Mus musculus: one gene and its partner. Each later gene encodes a partner of the first gene's protein in a complex. Links are inferred from orthologs where the notes say so. Each region holds a gene or a part of one and is shown in the gene's direction. Other genes may lie near its edges. The genes, in order: Ghrhr and Ghrh.

Region 1 (3,808 bases):
TCTGGCCAGTGGGTCTCTCTCCCCTGCCCTGAATTCTTCTCTCACTTCGGCTCAGACACAGGTGAGTGGCCTAGCTAAGGCAGGGACGCACAGCATGTGGTTCCTTCTGGTTTGCACATTACTGGTTCGGTGATGGACTATCCTGGATTTCAATCTTCTAGTGTTACCCTGAAAAATTTAGTCATCTTGAACGATGACTGATAGCACCAACCTCCCAGTGCAGGATTAATGATGACACTGGAGAAAGGGAGGTGGTACCATACTGATGAGGGTGGGGAACACCTCATCGTCCACTTCACCTGCTGTCCTTCCTGTCTCTTATGGGAAGGGGGTGGGTGTCATACTTCCTGCCCTTAGGATGTAGAGGTCCATCATTCCACTCAGCAGAGCTTTCCTGGAGAACAGAGACAGACTACACCAGTCCAGAACCCAAGCCATGGGACAAGAGGACTCTTCTGTCCTTGTGGTTAAGAACGTGTATATACCTCACAGAACCTTCCCACCATCTTCTGGGAAAGGGAGGAATTCTATAAGCAGAGACTCTTCTTTGCCTCTAGGGTTTGTGAAGAGGGACTGCACCATCACTGGCTGGTCTAATCCCTTCCCACCATACCCTGTGGCTTGCCCTGTGCCCTTGGAACTGTTAACCAAGGAGGTAAGCCCTGTATGTAGTTTACTATCTCAATGGATGCCTATCATCCCCACTGTAATCACCCCGTGGATGTAGTAATTACAGGAGCTGTCCAGCAGATGGCAGGAGATGCCTCCTGAAGCTGGTCCATTTACTTAAGGGTGAGGGAGAAGGGAAGCAGAGGCAGACTGGAAGCCATAGTCATCCACCTCTTGGCCAGCCTTTTCTCTTCCTAGTTTTTGGTGCAGGATGGGGGTGGGGTGGGGGTGGGGCGGAGCTTTAGTTATTTCAGAGGGAATAAAGATTGCTGCTGTGTTAGACAGGATGTGCTTGTTTTCTCTGGTCCTCCACCAGTGGTACAGTATACTGGGCTGTGGTATGGGCAAGCAGGTAAAACTCCAGGGTGTAGTCATTACAGAGACCCCTAGCTCTGGACATCATACTTTACACTGTGCACAGCTCAGGGTCTTCTCAAGGCCCATCCACACTCACAATCCCATTTCTCCCTGCCCTCGGCCCTAAGAGCAAAAACCCTGGTGTACTTACCTTTCAGATGAAGAGACAGGTCAGAGAAGCACAGGGATGGCTTGAGATGAACAGCAAGCCGGAGTGGCAGTACCTGGTCATACTACGCCCCTAGCTCTAACTGATTCAAATACTTGGGTCCCAAAGAGCCTTTCCCCGCCTGCCTGTGGCTGTTCCTGGTGTCCAGGAGGTTGCCTGTATATGGGGGTGACCGTGTACTCAAGCTGGTGTCAATAATCAGGCCCAACTTCCTCCTGTGCTTTTGCCGCTCTCCAGAGCCAGGTAGCTTCTGCTGGCTCCTCCCACTCCCATTGCAACTGGGAATCCTTATCTGAGCATCTCTATCTGAGGGGCAGTGTCTGTCCGAGGCTTTCTGTGGTATCAGTGCCTGGGAAGCTGGTGGCGTTGCCAGACTCCTGCTTGATTGCCAAACCTTTCTTCTGCTTCTATTGCCCCCCTCCCCAGAAATCGTACTTCTCCACGGTGAAGATCATCTACACCACGGGCCACAGCATCTCCATTGTAGCCCTCTGCGTGGCTATTGCCATCCTGGTTGCCCTCAGGTTTGCCACCCTTGCCATTTGCTCAAGAACCATCACTGCCTCCCTACTACCTGGGGACCAAGTCTGGTTCTTGGCCTGCATAGTCAAGAGGGGCTCAGATCCAGGCGAGATGACCTTTGTTGACCTCTTGCTCCCCTCACCCCACCCCAAGCCACACAGATGGGCCCTCTCTTCACACAGCAGGCCTCTGTTCTCTGGCCACACCTTTCCTCATGCGGATCTCCTCCTGTTTGCTCCCAATGCCTTCTTTTCCTTGGTGGTGTGTTCACCCCTGCCAACACTGGAAGCCCAGCTCTCATCCAGTTCTAAGAGATCTCCTTGACCCCTGCATGGCCCTTTTCTAATGGTTGCAACATTCTGACCATTGTAGTACTTTTTGGTATCATTTTTTTTCTTTTCAGTATCAGGGATTGAACCCAGGGTTCCCCAAATGGCCTCCACCACCAAGTTCACCCTCATCCCTTACTGCTGGGTGTAATGGCTTTCCAGGCTTCAAAGGTTGAGTTCCCCCATGGGACTATGCCTCAGAGGGTAGCTCTCTGATCATTAGAGGCTCCCTTAGGCTCTTGTAACCCACAGTTACAAAACCGTCTAAAGGCAGGGATATAAGAAACCCCTGCTCCTTACCTGAACTTAGGCCAGGAAAATGCTGGCCAGCTGACCTTCAAGGTCAAACTGACACATTTGTCTCACTTTCTACCCAGTTCATTGGGTCTCATTTTATTTGATGTGGCTTTGGCCACTCTGTCTTGGCTCACTTCTGTGCAGCTTCCCAGCCATGCCAGTCTTGGTCTAGGCCCTGGGAAGGTCTTCTGCAGTCAGGCCTCTATGTTCATCTCTCTTGCCCCTTTCAGGAGGCTCCACTGCCCCAGGAACTACATCCACACGCAGCTGTTTGCCACCTTCATCCTCAAGGCCAGTGCTGTGTTCTTGAAGGATGCCGCCATCTTCCAGGGGGATAGCACGGACCACTGCAGCATGTCCACTGTAAAGACTGTGACTGGAGGGAGTTGGGGCAGGGGGAAGAGGGCAGAAGACAGGCCTGAGTGTGCCTGACCTGTTGCTCCACAGGCTGAGGCTGTGACAAGGGCTGTGACAAGGGAAGGAAGCCTCAAGCTCTCCCCACGCATTCATAGATCAGTGTCCATACGAGCAGCTCCCTTTGCTAGGGGCGCCCCACACCATCATTCCTCTTTCATCAATGTTTCCATTTCAACTTGGTCACAGCAGCTCCTGTGCCAGCCAGCCATGTCATTGCCTTTAATGAGTGTGCAAGGACCTGGGTGGAGCTTGGCCCCTCCTTCCAGAAGCACTCAGGGGACAGGAAGCACTCAGACCTGGGGACTGCTGGGTAGGGAAAGCAGAGAATTAAGAGAATGAAAGAGCTTCAGGGAGGAGGTGGCCTTGGAGCTGCATGGGCCCAAAAGCAGTGAGATGGGGAGGAAGCTTTTAATAAGAGGAGAGCCATCACACCAGAAATTGGAAGTCGCAAAAGTAGAGGGGTGGGGAAAGGAGAGGAGAGGAACAGATTGAAAACTGAAGGGATCAGAGTTCAAGGTCTTTGAAAGTGTTCTGGAAATGAATAGACAAGTGAGTACCGGGACCAACAAGTGGGCTGATTTAATTAATGAATTAATCACTGATTGCACTCACTTAGGCCGGGCAGCACACCAAGTACTTTACATGTATTATCTCTTTTGATCTTAAAACGCCTTGAAGGCCTCACTTTAATCCCATTTTGTTAACGAGGGGCAGTTGGCCAGGTCACCCAGCCACACAGTTGGGGAATAAATAGAGCCTGGGCAACTGGGCTCAGAGGTGGTACCGTAGCCCATAGAGGCAGGTGAGGGAGGAGTGAGCCAGATGGTTGCATGCATGATGAACACATCCTATATCCACTGATCAACGCTGTCCGTGGTTATCACTTTAAAGGAGAACTTCAGCTAGGGAAGGGTGCACTATGACAGAGGAAATAGAAAAGTGTGTATGTGTGTGTGTGTGTGTGTGAGAGAGAGAGAGAGAGAAAGAGAGAGAGAGAGAGGGAGAGAGAGGGAGAGAGAGAGAGAGAGAGAGAGAGAGAGAGAGAGAG
Region 2 (4,608 bases), on another chromosome or scaffold:
TTAGAAACTAAAAAATAAAAGTAAATAAAATTTTAATTTTTAAATTAAAAGAAGAGACAAGTACATAAAGAGCTGTGGTGGCCAGTACAGCTTTGTTTTGTTTTTAAGGGTCTGAAATGCAGCAGTTTGTTGGAAACAGGCAGGCAGGGGAGGGCAGCGGTCAGCACCAAGCTCTAAGCAGAGGCTGGCAGGGACAAAGAGCTAGCTGCCTTCCTGGATGAGGGCTGGATGAGCAAGAGACCTGGTGATGGGAGCCGGCGAGGCCCACTGGAGGAACTAGAAATAGAAGCAGGAGCAGCTGGAGTCGAGTCTCCTCTCTCCAGATGCCGCAGCCTGTCAGAAGCAAGACTCACTCGGGAAAAGGGCTTCTCTTCTGCACATAGGACAGAGTCTGTTTTGTTTCTCGCCTACTCTGTCTGGCTCCTCTCCAACACCAGTTCTTAAGGCTCTGGACATACACAATTCCACAGGCCCCTGTCCCAGGATCCAGAAACAGAGGACAGCAACATCCGGCATGCTCGGTCAGGCCCCGCTCTTCTAGCTTCATTGCAGTCCCCGGTCCCTGGCAACCACCCACCAAATCCCTTTCTGTGCCATGGTGTGTGGAAACGGGACACTGGACAGTCATTTTAGCTGATTTGTTCAATTTGTTTCCTGGGCTTTGGGCAACCCAGCCCATCTGTGGATGGCTGGAAGCGGCATCCGGACAGCACGCCTTCCTAGCCACCTCCTAGGGGCTCCCCAAGGGCTGCCTTCCGTTTTCTTTCCAGGGGTCCGTAGAATACAGTCCTGACTGTTTTCCAAGGCACGAACCGGCATAATAAGCACAAGGCGTCTCCATGGCACCTTTCATTGAGCTTATTGGAGCGTTCTGCAGATGCCACGGAACACCGAGCCAAGTCCCAGGAACACGTTCTGAACCCCAGGAGCTGCACACCGCTTTATTAGGTAGTTTATTGGCGCATCAAATCTGGAGTCTACCACCTTCGGTTCACAAATCAGTTCAGAGAGAGGCTCTAACTTGCCCAATATTAAAGAGTAACAGTGCCACCTGCTCCTCTTCCCTGATTGGCACGATGCCAGGGAATTGACTGGTGGCCTAAATGGGAAATCAAGGCAGGAATGGCTGGAGGTGATAGAAACCTCAGGCTGTTGTGAGCCCAACAAGAACAGACTCTGGCTGGGCAATGGTGGTGCATGCCTTTAATCCCAGCACTTGGGAGGCAGAGGCAGGCAGATTTCTTAGTTCGAGGCCAGCCTGGTCTACAGAGTGAGTTCTAGGACAGCCAGGGCTACACAGAGAAACCCTGTCTTGAAAAAACAAAACAAAACAAAACAAAACAAAACAAAACAAAACAAAACGAACAGACTCTGGAGGCAGGCTTTACTGAGCAACTCATTCAGTTGAGGAGCACAAATGCTATTTAAACTTTTGGGGAGTGAGTAGGGGCACTCAGAGAGAATGTGCATCACTGGCCAAGGCCACAGTGAAGGGAATATTTTATTTGCATGAAAAGGACCTGAGGTGCTTGCTATCTGGACATGACCTTACTCAGAGAGGAAATTTAACCTATAACCCGAAAACTGGTGATGACTACCTCAGAGTAGCAGAAGTGGAGCCAAAAGGCCATGTACGTGCTCTGGAACATACAGGCCCAGGGCAGAGAAGGAGGAGTCCTGCTCCTGCTGGCCTTAAGATGAGATCGTCAGGGCCTGGGCATCACTGGTGATCCAGGCCGGCTCTCCAGGTCGCAGGTCTCTCCTGGTTGCGGCTCCCTGCTCATCTGGCTCCCACAACATCACAGAGTAAGTAGACATGTAAATTTTGAACCTAGCTCTCCTGCTGCCGCTACTGAGGGACAATATCCTCACTAATTGGTTCATAGGAGTTCACAGACCTCTGATGAACAGCAATATGGCTAAATACCCTTCCTTGTGAAGTGCACGGAACTGCATAGCCTGGGTGGGAAATGAGCTGGGTCCATCTCTTTTGTTGCATTTAGCCATTCCTCTTTTGTTATTTTTATCTGATTTGGTTCACTTCAGACCTGGTACCCGTTTCTTATTTATGACTAAAGGCCCCTGGGTGAGAAAAATGGAATCAAGAAAACCGTTTTTCTTTTATGTTCTACAAATGTTTCTATACCTCATTCCCACCACCCTTTAAAATAACATTTCCTTCCCAGGCCCCCCCCCCAAAAGCTTCTAAAATCCCTGCCTTTCCAATCTCCTCTTCACCTTGGCTATAATTATCTTGGGAGAATTTAAATTCCTTATCATGGGTTTGTGATGGCTGTGGCTTAAGGACCGTTGGCCTGGCTTCCATTCTGAGGCTTCGTCAAATTGCCCTCTATAGGAATTACCGTTAGACTCTTTCTTTCCTTAAAGGATGATAATGGGATTGTGACTCTGTTAAAGAAAGAACCCTTCTCTTGCTTGAGATACGTGCTGAAATATTTACCAGTCTGGGATTTGCTTCAAAACAGTCCAGTGAGGGAGATGACAAACACCACAATTGCTCGCTGAAATTGTCAGTCTCCTCCGGCTTTCTCTCACGGATCTTCATTCCTTTTCTGGTGCTGAGGGTGGAACCCGGGACCCCAGGGATGCTCCGTCGGGGTTCTCCCACTAAGCAGTTGCCCTCCTCTCTTGCAGGGACCCATTTGTTTCTTCTCCCTCTCACCCCCCAGGCTTCAGATCTGGATGTTGTGAACCTGAGGGTGGGGTTTGCCTCTGGGAGACTCAGACAAGAAGAGAATCTTAGTTTTGAGATCCCATCTCTATGGGATGAGCATCTGCTCCTCTGGGTCCAGGCTGACAGAGCAGCTGCTTCCTCCCTGGGATCTTTTCAATTCCTTCCTTCCTTCCTTCCTTCCTTCCTTCCTTCCTTCCTTCCTTCCTTTTATATCTTTATGTAATTACACTGTAGCTCTCTTCAGATACTCCAGAAGAGAGAGGGAGTCAGATCCCATTACAGATGGTTGTGAGCCACCATGTGATTGCTGGGATTTGAACTCAGGACCTTCGGAAGAGCAGTCAGTGCTCTTAACCACTGATCCATCTCTCCAGCCCTTTTGACTTTGTTATTAGTGTGTGTGTAGAGGTCAGAGGACAACTTTGCAGGGCTGCCCCCTCTCCTTCTAACTTATGCGGGTCCCAGGGATGGAATGGAAGTGCTTGGGTCTGCGTGGGAAGCACCTTTATCTGCTGCGCCATCTCACTGGCCTGGATTCCCTTTTTCTACATCCACTTCCACTGTCTTGAAGGTAGGTGTAAATTTACCAAGGTCTCCCCATCCCCACCCTGCTTCTGACTCCTGTGCCCTTCAAGGAAGGAAGGGAGGGAAGAAGGAGGCAGCTTAGAGAAGCAACTCTCACTTCCAAGATCTGGACCAGACCCAGCCACCTGGTCCCCAGGGTTTCTTGGAGGTCTCATGATACTCCAATCCCAACATGTGCAAATGGTGCTCCCATCCCTTCCTTGATCCCCACAAGCATCCTGACCCTCCCTGCAGTCATCCGTAGACTCAGTGGGCATCCTTTCCCTTCACTTCTCTCACCTGGCTGCTCTGCTATGCTCGGCAAGGCTGTACTGGTCCAGGCTGTGCTGGTCTTGGCTGTGCTGGTCCAGGCTATGATGGTCCAGGCTGTGCTGGTCTAGCCTATACTCATCTTGCGGAGCCTCCCTTAGTTACCTTCCACCCTTGCACTGCTTCAGGCCCTAGGCTCACTGGCCTGGGCTTCCTGACTGGATTCATTTCCTTCAGGCTGCTGCCAATGTTCTGCCTCCCAAACCATCCCACCAGGCTTCTAGAGCCTCCAGTGGCCTCTCTCTGTGGAGAACAAGAAATGACTAACTTCCTTAGTGTGGCATTTGATATCCTGCATAGCTTAGTCTAAATTATCTATATTTCCTGCTGGTGGAGCCACAAACCCAGGTTCATATCAAAATAAATCAGGGCCTTGATTAATACTCCAGAATCCTAGGCCCTACCCTAAACAGTTGAATTAGGAATCAATCAATCCATCCGAGAAGCACACAAAGGACCAGACGACACGGCGCTCAATTGGGAATTAGCTATGTAAGTCTGAGCACTGGGACTCAGATCCCCAGAATCTAGGTCAAACAGCATCCCTGTAAGTTTAATTCCCGGCGACTTTGCTGACCAGCCGATCCAGTGGAATTGGTAAACACCAGGTTCAAAAAGAATGTCTTGGAGAATAAAGTAGAGAGCCTAGAGAGATGGCCCAGCAGTTGAGAGTGCTTGTTCTTCTTGCAAAGGACCTGGGTTCAGTTCCCACCTATCCCTCACATTGGGCAGCTCACAGCTACTTGTAACTAATTATAGGGAATATAATGCTTTTTTCTGGCCTCCACAGATACTTGCACATATATTTGAGACAGGGGCCCTCTACCTAGTCCTGGCTGTCCTAAAACTCAGTATGTAGATCAGGCTGGCCTCAGAGGCAGAGATCTGCCTGCCTCTGCCTCCCGAGTGCTGAGACTAAAGGTGGCACATGCCACCATCACCCCTCTATAATTCTTTTAAAGCCTATATTTTAGGAAGTAAAAGCGGGGAAGTGATGGGGGAAAAGCCCTGACACTGAC

The links.
Region 2: the proteins of Ghrhr (region 1) and Ghrh are in contact, whole or in part, in a cryo-EM structure (PDB 7CZ5), measured with the Homo sapiens proteins. The link is inferred for Mus musculus from reciprocal best matches to the Homo sapiens genes GHRHR and GHRH. Residues at the interface, in NP_000814.2 of Homo sapiens: Leu119, Ala120, Glu122, Glu123, Phe126, Ser127, Val129, Lys130, Tyr133, Val179, Lys182, Leu186, Phe187, Asp190, Thr192, Asp193, His194, Cys195, Phe197, His210, Thr213, Phe217, Ala271, Cys272, Asp274, Leu275, Asp276, Trp282, Ile285, Ile289; in NP_066567.1 of Homo sapiens: Tyr32, Ala33, Asp34, Ala35, Ile36, Phe37, Thr38, Asn39, Ser40, Tyr41, Arg42, Val44, Leu45, Gly46, Gln47, Leu48, Ser49, Ala50, Leu53.

What each region holds. Positions count from the first base shown.
Region 1 is NC_000072.6:55,379,131-55,382,938, forward strand, and holds part of Ghrhr (growth hormone-releasing hormone receptor precursor), read left to right. Parts: coding exon 1-61; intron 62-557; coding exon 558-655; intron 656-1,621; coding exon 1,622-1,719; intron 1,720-2,573; coding exon 2,574-2,706; intron 2,707-3,808.
Region 2 is NC_000068.7:157,343,770-157,348,377, reverse strand, and holds the start of Ghrh (somatoliberin preproprotein), read left to right. Parts: upstream 1-1,722; 5' UTR 1,723-1,806; intron 1,807-4,608. UniProt on the Homo sapiens protein: GRF is released by the hypothalamus and acts on the adenohypophyse to stimulate the secretion of growth hormone.